3 linked regions of the Canis lupus familiaris genome follow. The protein of the gene in region 1 interacts with the protein of each later gene in a pairwise test. Links are inferred from orthologs where the notes say so. Each region holds a gene or a part of one and is shown in the gene's direction. Other genes may lie near its edges.

Evidence for each region.
Region 2: the proteins of SPRY2 (region 1) and HSD3B7 interact in binary tests that used the Homo sapiens proteins (3 or more experiments, as listed by UniProt). The two-hybrid records come from large-scale screens. The link is inferred for Canis lupus familiaris from reciprocal best matches to the Homo sapiens genes SPRY2 and HSD3B7.
Region 3: the proteins of SPRY2 (region 1) and ZDHHC17 interact in binary tests that used the Homo sapiens proteins (3 or more experiments, as listed by UniProt). The link is inferred for Canis lupus familiaris from reciprocal best matches to the Homo sapiens genes SPRY2 and ZDHHC17.

The regions. Positions count from the first base shown.
Region 1 is NC_049243.1:33,465,551-33,472,330, reverse strand, and holds the start of SPRY2 (protein sprouty homolog 2), read left to right. Parts: upstream 1-3,114; 5' UTR 3,115-3,541; intron 3,542-6,450; 5' UTR 6,451-6,501; coding exon 6,502-6,780.
Region 2 is NC_049227.1:17,382,389-17,389,168, reverse strand, and holds HSD3B7 (3 beta-hydroxysteroid dehydrogenase type 7), read left to right. Parts: upstream 1-2,898; 5' UTR 2,899-3,052; intron 3,053-3,428; 5' UTR 3,429-3,430; coding exon 3,431-3,596; intron 3,597-3,810; coding exon 3,811-3,966; intron 3,967-4,239; coding exon 4,240-4,348; intron 4,349-4,632; coding exon 4,633-4,732; intron 4,733-4,906; coding exon 4,907-5,069; intron 5,070-5,570; coding exon 5,571-5,986; 3' UTR 5,987-6,567; downstream 6,568-6,780. Other genes in the region: histone-lysine N-methyltransferase SETD1A, read left to right, coding at 1,439-1,576, 1,676-1,849. UniProt on the Homo sapiens protein: The 3-beta-HSD enzymatic system plays a crucial role in the biosynthesis of all classes of hormonal steroids. HSD VII is active against four 7-alpha-hydroxylated sterols. Does not metabolize several different C(19/21) steroids as substrates.
Region 3 is NC_049236.1:19,760,805-19,767,584, forward strand, and holds the start of ZDHHC17 (palmitoyltransferase ZDHHC17), read left to right. Parts: upstream 1-2,928; 5' UTR 2,929-2,988; coding exon 2,989-3,081; intron 3,082-6,780. UniProt on the Homo sapiens protein: Palmitoyltransferase that catalyzes the addition of palmitate onto various protein substrates and is involved in a variety of cellular processes.

The DNA.
Region 1 (6,780 bases):
CTCTAGAACTTTACACAACACTTTTGAAAATGGGGCTCCACTGAAATTTTACACAGCATTCTTTCATAATTCTGAAGTATCTTCCAGGATTCATCCCAGTTATAATTTTGAAATGCAATGTGGCAATTAATTGGGGGGTACACATTACAGAAGCTGCACCGAACACTTCATTATGTGTGTATATGCACAAGCACATACATAAACAGCATTTCTCTCTGGGATTATAACGCATTAAGTAACATTTGGAGCACAATATATTGTTCTATACATTTACATCTGAAAAAAAAATAATTTCACTAAATAAAATAAACGATAAAGACGGAGTCACGAAGGACCCAGCAGGTTCTTGTTTTTATCTGGTGCTCGAGGTATAGGTTACATGCTCTTCCAGTCAGCAGGCTGGAGGCTGTGAGGACAGGAAGGAAGAGCTAAATTACATGGGATTCTAACTCAGGAAAGAGAAGTATACATTCCTAGGTTCTTGCCCATCGACTCAATAAAAATAAGGCGCTCTGACTAGCCGGAAGCTCCTCATTTAAATTCCCAGTTTATGCTTTGATTCAGAACAGTGTGTCTCCGCAAAGTTCCTGCGGGGCTGGGAGGGAAACGCGGGCACCAGTGTCTCCGAAGGAGCAGCCGCTGGGTGCAGGGGTTTGAGAAGACGGAGAGAAGGCGTGTCCTCCACCTGCCGCGCCCGGGACCTGCCGCCCTCCTGCGGGCAGCGAGCTCCCCACCAGCCGCGCACACCTGGCCTCGGCCCCCACCTCCTCCCCATTGCGCAGCGCCGGGGTTCTCTCGAGCCTCGGGACCTCCTCTCGGATTCCAAACGGAATGCGTCCCAGGAGGTGGCAGGGCAAGCTGGCTGTCCTCGATCATCGTGAACCAGCCGGCCTAATGCACACTTGAAGCTCCCCGGCCTGAACTCGCCCGGTCCTGGGGTGGATAGGAGGCCGCCCGGGCCCCGACCCCGCGCCGGGCGGGCGCCCCCTGGTGGCCGCACGGGCCGTAAACGCAGCGGCGCCCGCGTTCACCCCGAAGCTCAAAGGACCTGGGCGTCGGGCGAGCTGCCCGGGCCGGGGAGAGGCCGGGTAGTTAGTCCCTTGCCCTCAGCCCCAGGGACACGCCGGAGCGGGCCGACCTAGCCTCGTGCACCCTCACCGAGGGGTGGGGGGTGGGGGGCGGGGGGCGTAGGCCAACACCCGGAAATCACGCATGCCACTTCCCCTGCCATCTCTTGTTCCAAACCCAGGGCGAGTGGGGAGAGCCCTAGAGAAACATGGAGAAGGCAGGGCGAGAGCGCAGCGCGGCGGGGAGCGCGCCCGGGGCGGTCTAGACACGGCAGCGAGTGCCGGAGTAGCTGCAAACGGGTGTGAGCTGGAGCTGCCCCCGGTTCTGCAGAAGAAGGCAGCGCGCCTTCCCCGCGCTATTGCAAGAACCCTCACCCCGCACGAGGGCAGGTGCTGTTCGGGAGGCTTGGCCGTACTTCCCTGCAAAGTGGAAACAGTCCGTAAATTATTAGAATCCAGGAGCATCAGGAGTGTGTGTGTGTGTGTGTGTGTGTTGGGGGGGGGGTCATTTCCCACCGGTGCGCCCACGTGCAAGCACGTTTCTTAAGTAAATGAACGGCAGTTAGAGCCCTGCGTACCTACGCGTTTTCTATCTTATTTCTCCTTTTTTTTTTTTTTTTTTAAAGTGGGAGCATACAGACCACCTTCGAAACGTACAAAAACAGGAGCTTCTTGGGAAATGCTCTAGGTGACAAGGGCGAGTCAGAAATGACGGCGGCCTTTTGGCTAAGCGGAGGGACTCTGCCGGGAACAGCGAGCCCCGGACCGTTTCAGGAGCCCGGCGTGTCGACCTTGAGTCCCCGTGTAGGTGATTAACGAATTTTTAAAAAGGCTCCGACCGCAGAGTTCCCTTCAGCTAGTGCGTCCAACAGCAGATCTTCCATCGCTTAGCTAAGTCTCCGTGGAATAAATACATACATACATACATACATGAATAATAAATAAATAAATAAATAAATAAATAAATAAATAAATAAATAAATAAATAAAATCCGACACTAAACTGAAAACTACAGAGTGAGTCCATCAATGGCCAGTCTCGGTCGGGGCACAAAGTGCTGGAGCCCCGAAGCTGCATTCCGCGCCTCCGGTCCGCGGCTGCGAGGCGGGGGAGGCGGCTTGCGCTGGTGCCTGGTGTATAATCGGGTTAATCCAGGAGACAAAGAATAAACCAACAGCCCTCCCACCTCACTTCCCGCTCCCCTTCCCCTCCCCCCGCTCCTCTCCGCGTCGCCCCCTCGAGGGGGAACCGAAAAGGGGAGAGAGGTGGGCCGGAGAGCGGATCCCGAGGAAACTCTCAGAACCTGCACCTCGTTGTTTTCGTGCCAGCACAGCACTGCGTGGCCCGGGTCGGGCTTGGCCGTTCCCTTCCCCTCCCCCTTTCCCAGGGGCGAGGAGAAAGTGCCCCAGGTCGGGTCCGAGCCCGCGGCTCGTCCTCGCGGCCTCCGGGGAAACCTTCGGGTCGGGGTTTCCGTGCAACTAGGCAGAGTGAGCCGCCGTGCCCGGCGCGGCCCCGCGGGCGCCCCGCGCGCCGGCGCCCGGGCGGCAGGACCGGCCTGGGGACGCGCGGGGCGGCGCGGTTGCCCTTTTGAATGCCTCCTGCGGCTCGGAGCGCTGGCGGGCGCTGAAGTGTGAGTGAATGTAGCCCCGCGGAGCCAATGAGCTGGGACCGGATGCGATATATCCTCTGGGACAACAACTGCTCTGTTCCGCCTCGGATCCACATGACGCCATTTACTGCTGCCGCGGCCGCCGCAGAGCTCGCTGCCTCCGGAAAGACGAGGGCGCAGGCCAACGGCGAGCCCCCCCGGCCGGGCCCCAGACCCGCCCCCCCCGCCCCCCCGCCCCCCCGCCCCCCGCGCCCCCGCCGCCCCCGCCTCGGCCTCGCCGCCGCGCCTCCACAACGCCCAGTCTGCAGCGCTGAGAGCCGCGCGGCGCAGCGCGAGCCGAGCAGAGGGGCCGGCGGAGCGCGCAGCGCCCAGGCCCCCGCGCCCGCGCCCGCGCCCGCCCGGCCCGGCCCGCGCCCCCGCGCCGCCTCCGCCTCCGCCTCCGCCTCCGCCTCCGCCTCCGCCCGGCCGCCGCCGCACCGCTTGGCCATCTGGCTTTAGACTCTCTCCGAGGCGGCTTTCTTTTTCCCCTTCGCTCGTCCGCCGGGAAAGGAGACTAGCCGTTGGCGCTTCGGCCTCCAGTTCATTGAGAAAAAGGAAATACTCCGCGTGCGTTTCTAGAAGGGGGGTCGCCCCCAGCCGCGAGCCCCGGAGTGAGTGCTTGCTGCTCATCGGCTGGGGACTTGGCTCCGGATTTTCCTCTCCTTTTTTTTCCTCCCGCCGATTGCTCGGAACTTGGAGCGAAGCAGAGTTTGGAAAGAAGGCGGGGGGGAGGGGGGGGAGTTTGCATCGGGGCTGGATTTTATTTGCACATCGCAGGAGGCAGCGAATCCAACGGAGAGGGGTTGGTGCAAAGCCGCGATCACGGTGAGGCACGTTTGGCTCTTCCCCTCCTGGCGCCTTGGCCGGCGCGTTGTGGGCAACATGGAGTAGGTGCAGCCGGACCCGGAGAGGGGTCCGTCTCCACTCAGGCCTCCGTTTCTCCAGCCCCGCAGGTTCCCGGCGGGGACCCCGGGGAGCTGCCCGGCCCCGGGCCCGGCCTGGCTCGGCGGGGGCTGCAGCGCGCGGGGTCGGGCGTCCGCAGCCCCAGGACCCCAGGCGCCCGCGCTCTGGGGGGTTGGGGCGGCCGCGGAGTCGGCGCGGAGAGCGGGAGACGGAGGCGGAACACTTTGTGTGTTCCAGGTCCCCGCCGTAGGCGCCCGCATTTCTAACCTGTTCTTGGGGGGGGGGGGCAAGCCCTGGGCGACAGGGTCCCGGGGCAGGGGCGCCAGCGGGACGGAGGGCGCGCGAGTCGCTCGCCTCCGGGGGCAGCGGGAGCCGCCGGTGAAGCCTGGGCAGGGGCCGGGGCCGGGGCCGGGGCCGGGGAGGGGGGCCGGGCCGGGCCGGGTGCGAGCGTCCCCCTGCCGGGCGCCGGGGCTGCGGTTCGGAAGTGCAGCTTTCTCCTTTTTCCGTTCTCCGCGGTCGGCCTGGGTCACACTTGTTTTATTTTTGGAAGATTGGGCGGACCTAGCACAGGAAGAAAGTCCTCGAGCGGTCGCTATCGTTTTCCATTACCTGAAAATAGGTGGCAAAAGAGGTTAGGGTTTTTGGTTTTTTGGTTTTTTGTTTTTTTTAATTTACTTTGATGGGCTGATCTACTTTTTTGTTGCTGTTGCTGCTGCTGCTGCTGCTGCTGCCTTGAATTCGGAATCTTGTGCGTTTTTACCAAGCGGTTTCTGGGTCTGCCCCACCCTCGTGCTGAAGTCCTTGCCCCTTAGTCCTTAAGTCCGATCACACACTTCTTCATGGGGGTTTCTGAGCACTTTCGGGGTGGGGGGTAGGGGAGCGAGGGGGGTGGGCGGCGGGTGCTCTGGGTGCGAAGGAGGCTAGGAATGGGCAGTGATCATTTTCGATTAAACACACACACACACACACACACGCACACACACACCACCACCCCTTTCAAAGATGCTGCTCTGCACTGCGAGCAAATCTTGGCGGAAAGTTTCCAGCCTAGGGATCTGCGTCCTGCACGCCCTGTGCAGTGGGGCCCTGGGACTTGACCTTTCTTTAAAAAGCAACTTTCCTTTCACTTTTTTCTCTCCGCCGGAAAGGAGATGGGGTGTGCAGACTGCAGCCGGTGCCCCCTGGGTCAGTGCCTGGTAGAGTCGCCCAGGGTGCGTGGCTTGTGTGCTCGGTCCCGGCAGCGTGTCTAAGGCATGGCTTTCGGCGCCAGGGCTTGAACCCTGTGCCGGACGTTCGCTGGCCTTTGCCAGGTGGACCTGCAAGTGGGCTGCGGGACCTCTGGGTGCCTGGGGCCGGGGTGGCTCCCTCCTGGAGCTGGAAGGCAGTTCTCTGGAGTGGGGGGTATGTTAGCCTGGAGGTGGGGGGGGGAGTGTGCCCCGGCGTTTGCAGGCACGTCCCCTTCGGAGGCGCCCGCACACCCCACCCCCGCCCCCGCCCCCGCCTTCTAGTGCGTCTTGAGGTTGTGTGCTGGGGGGAGGGCAGCTTGGCCTCTGGGCTGTGTCAGTCTCCCCGGGGAAACGTCCCCCGGGGCTCCGACTGTGTCCCACCTGCTGGGGACGGTGTTGGGACGCAGATAGAGCCGATACACGGAGTGAAAGCAAAGATCGACGTTGTCTTGTCTGCCTTTCTGTTGGGAGATCCGGTTTCCAGCTCTACCTTCTTCCGAGTTGGGAGGCGTGTGTCACCTGCCTGTGTCTCTTAACAAAAATCGGAGACTGGATAAAGGTCCACTTTTGCCCGTTTTTGTTCATTGTAGACTTGGCAAAGGGGTGTGTGTGTGTGTGTGTGTGTGTGTGTATGATAGTTGTGAAATTTACAGAGGGATTGCAATTTAAGTGATTACACGTCAGAATGATAGATTTGAGACGTGACAAGAATTTTTGAAACCCTTCCTGTTATCCCCAGTCAGTTCAGGTTCTGAACTATTAGGATTTTTGACATAATTTATTTCTAAAACCGGGAGAACAGTCTTTTACAGTCTTTTAGCTGCAGAATTAAAGATACTCTCTCAGGCTATCAAACTGTAAAGTATTTGATCCTCAGGTTGTTGAGCATTTGAAAATAAGTTTCTGTCTTGTTGCTGGTTGGTTTGTGTTCCTGGCACACCTAACAGGATTTGAATGGATTTGTGTTTCATTTAAAACTTTTGCTACTATATAGTTAATAATGTTTGACTGTTGTAAAATTTGTAACTTCCTTGGAGGGGCGAAGTATTTGCTTTTTTGCAAGTCGCATTCATTCTACGGTATTCTAAAAAGCTGCAGAATACTGGATGAATTATAGTTAAAGGTATTTGATGTAAAAGCAGACAAGAAAGACTTTCTATTTCTAGGCTGCATTTATTGCTGTTTAAGGCAAAAATGCCCACGACAAAGTTAAACCTATCTCAGATTTTGAAAAAGTTTTCAACTTTCGCATATGTTGGCAGCAGTGTTCTGTTCTAACGTTATATTCCTGCAGCCTTCACATTGAACATGAACCTTGCAATTTTATGTTTATTTGAATAAGGAATCGTTACCTATGTGATTGAACCAAGATCAGCTTTGTGTCTCTACACATCGCAAGATTAAAGAATCGTCAGTACCCGGCTTTAATTTTTTTACTTTTTGGTGTGGCGTTGATCCTATGGCTCTTCCACCACCCTCCGTGAGCAACTCCCATTTCAAATCCTGTCTCTCTGGGGGAATGGAAAGGAAAGAGTTAATTCAGGTGGGCGGAGAGTGGGAAGTATCCTGGAGTGTAAACCAGCTCTTTCCTCTTGGTTTCTGCAGGAATTCAGATGTGTTCTAAGCCCGCTGGAGTGACCACACTTCCAAGACCTGATGGAGGCCAGAGCTCAGAGCGGCAGCGGGTCGCAGTCCTTGCTGCAGGCACCCCGTGACGTTGGCAGGCAGCGTGGGGAGCCTGACCCCAGGGATGCCCTCACCCAGCAGGTACACGTGTTGTCTCTGGATCAGATCAGAGCCATCCGAAACACCAATGAGTACACGGAGGGGCCTACTGTGGTCCCGAGACCTGGGCTCAAGCCTGCTCCTCGCCCCTCCACTCAGCACAAACACGAGAGGCTCCACGGTCTGCCCGAGCACCGCCAGCCTCCCAGG
Region 2 (6,780 bases), on another chromosome or scaffold:
TGTAAACTAGGTGGTGACAATCCAGCAAGGAGGAAGGGCCAATATTCTCTCTGGCTATGAGGGTCTCATAGTTCAGTGGGGGAAGAGCCACTGCATAAAGAACTGCACCAAAGGATGATGTCTGGTTGATGGGGAAGAGGAAGCTTGGGGAGGCACAGGTGGTGGGGCACAATGACGTGTAAGCCGGGAGCTGAAGGATGATGACTCCCCAACTCAGAGGAGGGGAAGGGTGCTCCCAGCCACTGGACAGCATGTGCAGAGGTCTGGAGGCAGGATAGTCTCAGTAGGGCAAGGAAGTCAGGATGGCAAGATGGAAAAACCAGGACTGGTGGCCACCAAGAGAGGCAGGTGGAGGCCACACTTCGTGGACCTTAGGTGCTTAGAAGCTGTGTTGTTGAGCTGGGGCCAGTGATAAGGGGAGGGAAGCCATGGCCAAGTGCCCAGCAGTGACAGGCTTTGCAGTCAGTAGGCTCCCTCTGGCTGCAGTGTGAAGGGACAGCCAGAGGCGGGGACAAGTGGGGGTGCGGTCACAGAGATCCCAGCAGAGGCCCAGGGGACCCAGACTAGGCAGTGGCAGCCAAGGTAACAGGAGTCTGTGGGTCCAAGGCAGCTGGCAGCACTGAGCAGCAAGTTGGCTCTAGAGAGTAGGGGAGGGAAAGAGGGGAGGCCATTTCTTGGGCTGCTGGTGAGGGGGGTGAGGAGGAGAAGCAGCTGTGTGGTGGAGAGGAGTTCCAGTCAGGGCCTGTAAAGCTGCAGGGCCCCAGGGACATCTAGAAATTGACGCCTAGCAGCTCCATTGAGGTGGATTTTGGCTGGAGATGGAAGTTTGGGAGGAGGCCCCACCACTTATCTGGCAGTTGAAGCCCTGGAAGAGAATGAGATCACCCCAAGGAGAGAGCACAGAGGGTTTATCATGCCATGTTCTGGGAAATAGGAATCACTCCTCCTCACACAAGAATGTGGACCTTGAGGGCATCAAGTGGCAGCCTGGGGGTGCCTGTCTTGGACAGAGGGTCCTGGGAGAAGAGACGAATAGGGTTCGGGCCCCAAAATGACCATGTCACATCAGGAACCAGCATGGCTTCACAGGAGGCTGGGGGCTCCACCATGGGCCAGGCAGAGGCTCCAGGAGGAGCCAGTGGCTGCTGCTCAAGCCCACTGAGCCCGGCACATTTTCCTGAGATCCCCTTTGGGAGACTTAAAGTGGCAGCCAAAGGTGTCGGTGTGGGGGGAACCTTGAGGAGGGGGCCCTTGGAAGCAGGTGGTTGACTCCTTGGGTGGGTGGGAGCCAGAGGAGGAGCTGCTCACCAAGACAGGTCAATGTGCCACCCACCCCAGGGTGGTAGCTGGAAGGCCAAGCGGGTCCCCTTCACTGGGGCTGGTGGGGTCAGGCCCAGTCTGGCAGGAAGCTGACTGGGACGGCACCCCGTCCTACCAGATGGTGGCTGACATGCGGGAGAAGCGCTACGTGCAGGAGGGTATTGGCAGCAGCTACCTGTTCCGGGTAGACCATGACACCATCATCGACGCTACCAAGTGCGGCAACCTGGCGCGGTTCATCAACCACTGCTGCACGGTGCGCAGGGGGGTGGGGGAACGGGGTGGGAGGTGCTCAGGGTGGGGCGGAGACTCCAGGACCAAGGGCGTAAGCTCACATGGCCCTCCCCTCCTACAGCCCAACTGCTATGCCAAGGTGATCACCATCGAGTCCCAGAAGAAGATCGTGATTTACTCCAAGCAGCCGATTGGTGTGGACGAGGAGATCACGTACGACTACAAGTTCCCTCTGGAGGACAACAAGATCCCGTGTCTGTGCGGCACCGAGAGCTGCCGGGGCTCCCTCAACTGAGGTGGGGCGGGACCGGCGCCCGCGCCTCTATTTATTTCCCTGGGGTCTGGGGAGCCCTAAGCCCAGTGAGGGAGCCTCAGTCCCCGGAGGTAACTCCTGCCTCCCCTGTCGCCCCTGCCCACCCACCTCCTAACTTTTTTTTCTTTGCGGAGAAGAAGCTGTAAATGTTTTGTAGCTGCCAGCAGCTGTTTCCTGTGGAAACCTGGGGTGCCGGCCTGTACAGATCCTGTTCTTGGGGGGCTGCATAGCCCCCTTGCTTTGTGTTAATGGGGACTTCCCCTTTGTGCCCTGCGTGCACCCCTCCCCAGTTCAGGGGTCTCTAGGGGCAGCGGCCATGTTCTCCCCCTGGGGGGGGTGCCCTGTGCCCCCAGTCCTAGGGACTCCGTGCCTGGAACCCTGCCTCATCTTCTGTTCCTGCCAGACCCTGTGGGTCACCCTCCCACCCTGGTTCCTGGAAGCTTCTGCTCTGCCAGACCAGGATGATGGGGGGTGGGCCCTTCCTATTGGGCTGGATTGTACATATGTTAATAGCGCAAACCCAACGCCACATTTTTATAATTGTGATTAAACTTTATTGTACAAAAGTGCTTGGTCAGTATCTTTGGGGAAGAGTAGGTGGGTGGCGGGGGGTTGGGGGTTCAGGACAGAGGATTGGTTGCAAGTGAAGAGAAGGGGAAATGGGTGGCCTGCAGGTTGGGTGGGTAGACCTGCAGACTCAACCACCATTGCTCTGGGTCACCTATTAGTCTGGAATAGTCATCCAGAAATCCCCCACCAAGGTCAGCCAGAGCTGGGCCAAGGTCAGCCTCCCTTCCCTTCCCAGAACCACAGCCGCTGCTGGGCTTCTGGTATCTTGGGAAATCCAGCAAAGGGGAAGGATTGACGTCATGAGGTGGGAGTGAGGTCATCCCACCTGTCCCATCCTCTGCCCACCCAGCGTGTTCTGGCTTCCCCGGGCCGTATTCCCCAAGTTCTTTGCCGGAAGCAGACGCCCGCGGAGCGCAGAGTGGCCGCCAGGGGGCGCCCTATGGCAAGAGCTCAGGGGACGGAGGGGTGGAGGCTGGGCTGGTGTCTGTTCCTGGAATGGGCCAGGAGGGAGGAGGAGCAAGCGGAAGGGGACGGTGTGTTGGCCGACCGCTGGGGCTCCGAAAGAAGACGGCCCCTCCGGTGGGCAGTTTGAGTATCTCGGGACCGTGGCTGCAGGTAGGCAGAGGTGATGCCAGGGCTCCCAGGTCCCCTTCCCTAGTCACAGCCCTTCCCATCTCCCTCTCCCTTCCTCTTCAACCCTTCACCTCCTACCCTCCATTTTTGTCTTGGAACCTTCCCCTCCAGCTCAACCCCTGAGCCCTTCCTAAAACGCCAATCCCTCACCCTTTCAGTCGCAGTAGCTGCAGCTGGCAGGGTCAGAAGACAGGTGGTAGCCTAGCTGCTGTGCCACAGCCCCAGCTTTTGGGAGCCACTCTGGCCCCTGTGTCTCGGCTCCCGTCCCCTAGGCCAGAGGCCCCATCTCAGGGTCGCAGGTGTGCTGCTGGCGCTGGGTGGGTGGTGGCAGGTAACTCAGGTTCTCTTCCCGAGCCAGGCATGGCAGACTCCACAGAGGTCCGGGAGCTGGTGTACCTGGTCACAGGTGGCTGCGGCTTCCTGGGGGAGCATGTGGTGCGGATGCTTCTGCAGCGGGAACCCCGGCTCTTAGAGCTGCGGGTCTTTGACCTGCACCTGGGTGCCTGGCTGGAGGAGCTGAAGACAGGTAAATCACAGTGGGGAGGGAAGGAGTGGGGTGGGCGGACTCCCTTTGCCGTGGTGGAAAAGATGATGCCTGTTTATAACTTCCGCGCCCATGGATGGGATGAATGAGTCACTTTGGGAATATGTGGCTCCTAAGGGTGTAGGCTGAACCCAGCAGCTGGCCAGCGGCCCCAGCTCAAGACATTGCTTCTGGCTGCCTCTCCTATCCTTCCCAGGGCCTGTGCAGGTGACTGCCATCCAGGGGGATGTGACCCAAGCCCACGAGGTGGCAGCGGCTGTGGCTGGAGCCCACGTAGTCATCCACACAGCCGGGCTGGTGGATGTGTTTGGGAGGGCCAGCCCTGAGACCATCTATGAGGTCAACGTGCAGGGTGAGGTGGCTATTTGTTCCCTACCCCCTCTTTGACCTTGACTTCTGGGATTCTCTTGTGAAAACCTGTCCTCTGGACACTCCTGCCCCTGTAATGGCAATTTGGCTACCCTCACTGACCTGCTGTAGTTTTCCTTGGACCTGGGGAAGGAAGCCACGGGCCCTCATCCAGAGTGGAGATGGGGGGTGGGAAAGATGCTGCGAGGGAGGAAGTTTTAGCTTCAGTCTTTCCCTCACTGCACATCACTCTTTCCCTCCCTGCCACCTCTCCCAGGCACAAAGAACGTGATTGAGGCTTGTGTGCAGACTGGAACACGGTTCTTAGTCTACACGAGCAGCATGGAAGTTGTGGGGCCCAACATTAAAGGCCACCACTTCTACAGGTAAGCTTAGTTTCCCCCCAGTACTTGAGAGCCCCATCTCCCCTCAGCATTAAGAATTTTCCTTCTTGGGCAGCCTGGGTGGTTTAGTGGTTTAGCGCTGCCTTTAGCCCGGGGCCTGATCCTGGAGCCCCGGGATCGAGTCCCACGTCGGGCTCCCTGCATGGAGCCTGCTTATCCCTCTACCTGTCTCTCTGCCTCTGTCTCTCTCTCTGTGTGTGTCTCTCATGAATTAATAAATAAAATCTTAAAAAAAAAAAAAAAGAATTTTCCTCTTCCTCAACTAGGGGCAATGAGGACACCCCATATGAAGCAGTACACAGGCACCCCTATCCTTGCAGCAAGGCCCAAGCTGAGCGGCTGGTCCTGGAAGCCAATGGAAGGAAGGTGAGACAGGAGGCGAAGAGACAAAGACGTGGTGGGCAGGGCTGCTAGTCAGAGGCAGAGCCGAGGCCAGAGGGACTACTTTACATCCTGCCCCAATCATCGATTTCGGGAGGCCAGGGCAGAGGGCAGGCCGCTGGGTCCTAGGTCTTAGCTATGCCTACCTCTTGCCCCCAGGTCCATGGGGGGCTGCCCCTGGTGACATGCGCCCTGCGTCCCACTGGCATCTACGGTGAAGGCCACCAGATCATGAGGGACTTCTACCACCAGGGCCTTCGTCTGGGGGGTCGACTCTTCCGGACCATCCCTGCCTCTGTGGAGCATGGCCGGGTCTATGTGGGTAAGGCCCGGGCTACACTGTGGAGGGGGGGTGGGGTGGCGGGGAAGGCTGAGAACGGGGCAGGACCCACGTAGTCCTGGGTGGGCAGTGTGTGCCCCGGCTAGCAAAGGGAGAGCCACACATGGGCCAGAGTAGCCGGATACTCGGGTATTATCTGCATGGCCACGGAGGACACACCAGCTGTGTGAGTTGGGAAGGCTAACATAAAAAACACATCACAGGCCAACTGGTTATGAGAACAGCATCTCTCCAGGAGAGGTGAGGGGCAGCATCTACACAGGACCAACAGAAGTAGCAGCATCCACACAGGCTGGCCCAGGAGAGCAAGTGGCCACAGGGCCTGGGGAGGAAGCAGCCTTCACCAGGGCCCTGGTTCACAGGCACACCTACGTGAGCCCCAAGAAGGGGCAGCTTGGACACGGGCTGGCTCAGGAGAGCACAGGGTCTCCACAGCCTCCAGGGCACTCAGGGCCACATCTGCCCCCCTTCCCCCGCTGACAGGCAACGTGGCCTGGATGCACGTGTTGGTGGCTCGAGAGCTGCAGCAGCGAGCTGCCCTGATGGGCGGCCAGGTGTACTTCTGCTATGACCAGTCGCCCTATAAGAGCTATGAGGACTTCAACATGGAGTTCCTGGGCCCCTGCGGACTGCGGCTGGTGGAGACCCGCCCGCTGGTGCCCTACTGGCTGTTGATGCTTCTGGCTGCTCTCAACGCCCTGCTGCAGTGGCTGCTGCGGCCGCTGCTTCTCTATGCACCCCTGCTCAACCCCTACACGCTGGCTGTGGCCAACACCGCCTTCACTGTGAACACCGACAAGGCTCGGCGCCACTTCGGCTATGAGCCCCTGTTCTCGTGGGAGGACAGCCGGACCCGCACCATCCGCTGGGTGCAGGCCATGGAGGGCTCGGCCCGGTGACGGTGGAGCAGGGAGAGGGAGGCCCCCCGAGCCCTCAAACCCTGGGCAAGGAGGGAGGCCTGCCTCCTAGCGCTGGAGGGGCGTCTGGCACCACACTGACGCGCCCACAGCCCTCCACATCTTTAATCCACGGGAGCGAGCTGTGGGTTTGGTCCCGGTACCTCTGAGTTCTAGGGCAGGGTTTGGCAAATGTCTGATTCCCCTAATGTTCCCACCTGCCCCGTCCCTTTCTGGCTTTTCAAGCAGGAAGTGAAGAGTTCCACGGGCTTCATGCTGGCCTTCTGACGTCCAGGCAGGACCCTTGGGCCTGCATTTGGACTGAAGTTGCTTTGTGGCTCCTCCCACCACCTTTGGCCCTCCTTGGCGGTCAGCATCCCATTATTTTAAAATTTTTATTACCTTCGGACAGCTCTCTTTCCTGTGAAGCCTAAGCAAATCCGTGTACTTTCCCTTCTTCCCACCCGTCCACCCAAATTTGTTCCTATAATATTGTCAGAGCTCTGCCTGAGGGATCTGCCCCAGGAATGCTATACCTGGCCGAGCCCTGGATTAAAGCTCCTCACCCAGCTTGGGTCTATCCACCTGTCCGGCTTTGTCTCCCACCACGTCTCCCCCTCCCCACGGCGCCTGTCCCACACGGCGACAGAAGGAAGTGACCACACAGCACGCCCGCTGTTGGATTGGTTGCTATTTCTCCCGTCCCACGGGGCCCGACCCGGCCCGGGGTGGGGGTGGGGGGCTCTGGGGACAGGACATGCAGGGTGGGGTGGGGGGGGGGCAGAATTTTCCTGTGT
Region 3 (6,780 bases), on another chromosome or scaffold:
TTGACTAGAACTGGATGACCTCTAATAGTATCTTTAGCTCCAGTAGTCTCTGAAGTTACATATGAAGCCACTTCTATACAATAATTGCCCATTCCTCTCTGCTTTTAGATCCATTTCACAATTCTCCTCTGACAAGGTCCATGTTCTCTATTTTATTCTCTTTCAGCAACTATTCTGCATTCCTCCATAATTCTGTGCCATTCTTTTGCCAGTTTATCCATTGACATGTCTACTTTCTTGGCTGTCCTTCACAGTACCCTGAATATATCGTCTCAAATCTGCATGTAGATAAGGACTCTGTACTTACCAAGATGGACTTATTGTATCTACAGGGTTCATTTGGGTCCATATTGAACCTCACCCAAACCTCAACTTCAACATATTTTCCCTAAGAATGTCTGCTCTTACTCTTCCTTTCTTCCTTTCTTCCTTTCTTCCTTCCTTCCTTCCTTCCTTCCTTCCTTCCTTCCTTTCTTTCATTCAATAAGTATTGTTTTCAGTCATACAGCAGTGAGCAAGGCAGATATGGAGTCCAGTTGAGTTGCTTTAACTTTTCATTCACTTTTAGTGTTTTGTCCATGTTGTAGAATTCCCGGAAGTCACAAATAAAAGCATCTATGGCAGCCAGGCAATGATGATGAGTGATGTAGGCCTATGAGCCCAGTAGAGACCAAGCAAGGAAGCCCAGATCTCTCATGTTTTCCAGCTAAACTAGGAATCTAGATTTTATATATATATTTATTTTTTTTAAAAAAAGATTTTTATTTATTTATTCATGAGAGACACACACACACACAGAGAGAGAGAGAGAGAGAGAGAGAGGCAGAGACACAGGCAGAGGGAGAAGCAGGCTCCATGCAGGGATCCTGACATGGGACTTGATCCCAGGTCTCCACAATCACGCCCTGGGCTGAAGGCAGCGCTAAACCGCTGAGCCACCTGGACTACCCTAGAAATCTAGATTTTAAAGTGAAATCTCCTGATTTATTGAATTTTGGTATCTACTTCAAAAATATTTGGAAAACTACCATGTAGGCCAAATGAAACATTTTGGTGGCTGAATTTGACCACTGAGCCTTCCATTTAGGGACCCCTGTGAGCCTAGGCGTCCTGGGAAGGCTAAACATCCTCATTTTTTGTAAGCTCATACACCCCAATGTTCCTAACACATGGGCACCTGCAAAACATTCTTGCCTGCTATCTATGCCTTGTGTCTCCGTCACCCCCCAACAATTCAGTATCTTCTTTACCCCATCTCCCAACTGTTGCTTTTCTTTACTCCCATTGTCTCTTTCCAGTAAATGTATGACATAAGGGTAAGGAGGAGCAAGATGAAAATTGAATTGTTGAAGTGAAAATTCTACTTTAGGGCAGCCCGTGTGGCTCATCGGTTTCACACGGCCTCCAGCCTAGGGCGTGATCCCTGGGGTCCTGGGATTGAGTGCTGCCTCTGGCTCCCTGCAGGGAGCCTGCTTCTCCCTCTGCCTCTCTCTCTCTGTGTCTCTCATGGATAAATAAATAAAATCCTTTTTTTTTGTTTGTTTGTTTTAAAGAAAATTCTATGTTAAAATGCATCTAAAAGCAGTTTGGAGCTCCAAAGGGAGAGAACCCTAATTCTGTGTAGTTCTGCAGGCTGGGTGAAAGAGTCAAACCCAAATCCTTGGTTTGGGGTGGGACCAAAATGATGCAAATGAGCTCAGACTGAGAGGAGACCGAGAGCAGCGCTGCCGGGAGGACGGAGGCAGGTAAGCCAGCTGCAAAGTCAGCAGAGGACCTTGCTCTTCCCACCGGCCGTGCAGCAGCTGTGAAGAGCTGTGCCCGCCTCTCCCTCTTATGAATGATGCCTCGACCGTTAGCTATGCAGCATTTCCAGGAGCTAATATCTGCTATTTAGCTATCTTCATGCATTTCTGGGAGCACCCCGTGAAGGAACAGCAGACTCCTCTTGAGAGCATCCAATGCCCGGTCGCTCCCCGCTTTTCCGGGCCCGGCTTCCCAGGGAGCGTCGGATGCAGCGCTGCGCCCCGCCGTCTGCAGACCCTGCAGCTCCCCTTGGCGGGAGCCTCAGCCTGAGGGCAGGCCCCTGACCCTCGCCTCCCTGGGCCCTCCCTCCCGACCTTACCCGGCGGCTGCTCCTGGCTGATGCGCTTGCTCGGGAGGCAGGCTGCTGTCGGGATCTCTAACGCATCGTCCTGGCGGTCTCTGCTGCATCCTCCTCTGAGCAGCTTAGGGCTACAATTTTTAATAATAGCAAAAAAAAAAACAAACAATTTTTTTGGCGATCTCTGCTGCATCCTCCTCTGAGCAGCTTAGGGCTACAATTTTTAATAATAGCAAAAAAAATACAATTTTTAATAATAGCAAAATCAAAGAGGCATGTGTTGTAGGCCTGTTGTTTTAGCACATTTGTAGGAGCCACTCCCCCCCCCCCCCCCCGCCCCGATTCCTACAGCCCTAATATGCGCTTAAAGACGCCCTAGGTCCTTTTATCCGGTTCGAATTTCAGCGAATTCCGTTTTAACGACGTGGGTTCTCAGCCCCCGGGTTACATTAACATGCAGCAGGTGGGGGGGGGGGGCGTGGGCCTCGAGGGTGTACGTTTTTGATGTAATTACTGCTAATTGAAGACCAACGAGGTCCGGCCGGGCCGTCTCCCGGGCCCCAGGCCTCACCCGTTGCTCCGGGCGCCCCCGAGGGTGCATCGCGGGAGGCCGTCCCGGCGGGGGTGCAGGGCCGCACGGGCAACGACCAGCAGGCCTCCCAGGCCCCAGCCGCGCTGCTGCAGCCGCGGGGTCTCGGGGCCGCGCCGCGCACGCGCACAGCCTCCTCCCCCGCTCCCCCCGCCCCGCCCCGCGCGCACGCGCACAGGGACCCCCGCCCCCGAGGGAGGCGGGGGGGGCGCAGGGGGGTGCGCGGGGGCCGCGGCTCGCCCTCGCGCGTGCCCTCGCCGCGCCCGAGCCCCGCCGGGGGGAACCGCTTTCTCCCGGCATGCAGCGGGCGCAGGGATTTAACACCAAGATGGCGGACGGCCCGGACGAGTACGACGCCGAGGCGGGCTGCGTGCCCCTGCTGCACCCGGAGGTGAGGGGCCGCCCGGAGCCGCCCCAGCCCCGGGCCGCGGGCGCCGGTCCCCCCGGGACGCGCGGAGGGCTGCGGCGGGGCCCGGGGCCGTGCGGGGGCTGCGGGGCGCGGACAGGCGGGCAGGCCCGAGCGCGGCCGCGGCTGCGAGCGGATAACGGGGCGGCGGCGGCTGGGCGGCCCGGGGCGCGGGGCGCGGGGGGCAGCGCTGCTCGGCGCCGTGCGGGCCGCGGGGGCGCTTCCGGGGCGGGCGTCCGTGCTGGACGCGGCCGCGGGCACAGGTCGCAACTTTCGGGGGGAAGGCGGGCGCTCGCGGCGGGCGGGGCTGGGGGGGCTCCCGCTGCGGGCTCGGCCCCCGGGGTCTGGCGGCGGGCGGGGGGCACGGCTCGGGGTCCGCCGGCCTGGCTGCAGCTGCGGGCTCGGGGCCTCCGGGCAGCTCGGCCGCCGGGTCGCGGTCTGGAGGCGGGGGCAGGGGGCGGTGCACGGCCCCGGGCCCGCTGGCCAGGCTCCGGCTGCAGGCTCTGGGCCTCCGGTCGCGGTCTGGCGGCGGGGCGGGTCTGTGCGCTGGACGGGGGGGAGGGGGGGTGCACGGCCCCGGGCTCGGGACCTCCGGGGCAGCTCGTCCCCGGGTCGGGGTCTGGGGGCGGGGGGTGCACGGTCCCCGGCCCGCCGGCGTGGCTCTCGCTGCAGGCTTGGGGCCTCCGGTGCTGCTCGGCCGCCCGGGTCGGGGCGGGTCTGTGCGCTGGAGGGGGTTGGTGCACGACCCCGGGCCTTCTGGCCTGGCTGCCGCTGCAGGCTCGAGGCCTCCGGTGCAGCTCGGCCGCCCGGGTCGGGGTCGGGGTCGGGGCCGTGCATGGCCTGGCCTTGCTCCCGCTGCGGGCTCGGGGCCCTCGGGGCAGCTCGGAGGGAGCTCCGGGCTCCCGCGGTCTCTGCGGGATGAAGGCGGGACCACGGCCTCCAGGGTGCGGTGGCGGCGACGGACGTGCACGGCTGCCTGGCTCCCCCGGAGCGGGATGGTTCTGCTGACCTCGGGGTTGGGGCTTCCAGCCTGCGTCGCCCAGTGAAACGTGGACACACACACACACACACTCAGAGTGCCGCGTATTAACACCCAACCACCGTCTTATTCATCACTTTGATTTACTAGAAGCAGATGGGACAGTTCTTTAGGAAGATGCTTGAGCTGCTCTCAACCAGAAAGGGCTCCTCAGGATTTCTGAGAAACAGAGCTGTACAGTAAGTCTTTGCGACCAAGGTAGTGACATTTTTATTTATTTTTTGTTAAGGATTTTATTTATTTATTCATGAGAGACACACACAGAGGCAGAGACACAGGCAGAGGGAGAAGCAGGCTCCATGCAGGGAGCCCGACATGGGACTCAATCCCAGGTCTCCAGGATCACGCCCTGGGCCAAAGGCAGGCGCCAAACCGCCGAGCCGTCACCCAGGGATCCCCAGTAGTAACATCTTTGGAGCTGCCATAGGACATGCCCTTTCTTTTAGTTCACACTTAGGCCTTAAAAAATACACCAGGGCATAAAGTTCTCAGATGATGACTCGAAAATGTTGCCAAGGAATAGGTCTGTTCATGTCTTCTCAGTGAAAGTCTTAAATACTGAGATGTTGATTTTATGTATTCTGACATAGTGTTCTTTCAGTGAACCGTTGGTGTGTGGCGTGGTACATTGTTTGGCACTTTAGGAGTAATTGTAACTGATAACAGATCCCTAGCGCTGTTGCTGGTAGTAATGAAGTGGCCTGTAGGCTTGGAATGGAGAGCCCAGTCTTCGGGTTGCCACTTAAAAGAACGTTATGAGAACATCGGCTTCTCCTTCCGCACACTGCAAGTAGAAGTTGATATGAGATCTGCCATTCTTTTTCATCTGGCAAACACAAGGCCCAACTACTTTAGATGTTTTGAGTCTTAACGCTGTGGTTTCCAGTGTTGCATGCACACCTGGTGCAGACCTGGTAAAGTTCTGCTTCCTTGCACTATGTTCTTGGGCAGACTCCTCTGAGTTCTAGCTTCATCATTTGTATTTATGGTATGAAGTGACAATAACTAATAGGCTATTATGAGGATCGTGATAATGTATTCTTTTGTTGTTGTTGTTAAAACAAGCAGCTTTTGGTCTCAGAAAGAAACCTGTTCTCTGCCTTGGTGGGCAAATAAAATAATAAGACTTTTAACAACTGTAGGAGACTTGGGTTCCAGTTCTGTTATTTGTAGTAATTAATTAGCCAAAGGACTTGAGACAAGTACTTAATCTCTCTCTCTCTCTCTCTTTTTTTTTTTTTTTAAAGATTTGTTATTTGTTCATGAGAGACACAGGCAGAGGGAGAAGCAGGCTACCTGCAGGGAGCCCAGTGTGGGACTTCATCCCAGAAACTCCATCCCAGGACCCTGCGGTCACACCCTGGGCCCAAGGCAGATGCTCAATCACTGAGCCCCCCAAGCGTCCAGTACTTAATCTCTTAAAGCCTGAATTTGTTAATCAGAAATGCAGATGTGGCCTAGTTCACTTGGTTATAAGGGATCAGGCGAGACTGTATGTTGAGGATTAAGAACTGGCACATTGTAGGTGTTCACTTAGTGTTATTTCTTTTTCCTCTACCAGGAGGGAGATGTTACACGTGTGTTTTGGTTTTGGCAAATGGTTTAGAGACTTGTGTGGGTTTTAATTTATGGAATAGAATATTGTAGGAGCAAGTTTTATTTTACTTCAGATTTAACACTGTGTCACAAAAATAGTTTTTCACTTAATATTTGTTGAACAGATGAATTATTTGTAGGATAAAGAAATTAGCCATTCCTTAAATCTGCTCTTAGTATGCATACTGCTCACTATTAAAACCTTTCTCGGGATTATGTAATTAGCTGAACAGGGAAACCTTTTTTTAATTTTTTTTTTTTTATTTTAGAGGTATTTACTGTGAGAAAACTTACTTTTTAATTAATCAAACGATCCATTAATTTAGTGAGTCTTTTAAACATTTGTTTATTTTGTTTGGGTCAGGTACTGTGCTGGGCTCTTGGCACTTTGGGATTTTCGTGTTTAATTCAACGAGAAGCAGAATAGGATGTGGTTGAGAGCCACTGGTAACAAAATCTGGGTTCTGCACTTGCTGTTATTATGGTAAATTTACATTTGTAAAACTGGGTTGTTACTCCTTATAGTGCTTATTGTGAATATTAAGTAAAAAAATAATGTTTATAAATGTTTATCAATGTTTATAGAGTAGCCATCCCAGACCACAGCAGGTGGTCTGCCAACAACTCTGACCTTCTGAAAGCCCTAGCATGTAGTGAATACTGGTGCTATTACTTTGCTTTCTGATGAAATAGGTGATTATTCATTTTATTATAATGGAAGAAATTAGAGCTATTTGGAAAAAGTTGAACTGATTATCCTGGGATTAGGGTGCTAATCCTAGCTCTGTGACTTTAGGCTGTTGGACATTTAACTACTCTTAGTTTCTTTGCTTTTAAGATAGAGAGGCTAGGGGCGCCTGAGTGGCTGAGGTCATTAAGCGTCGGACTCTTGATCTCAGCTCAGGTCATGATCTCAGAGTTGTGAGTTTGAGCCCTGCGTTGGGCTCTGTACTGGGTGTGGAGCCTACTTAAAACAACAACAACAACAACAACAAAAACAGAACATAAAGAGGCTAGACTAGATCTTTTAAGATTTTTTTAAACTCTAC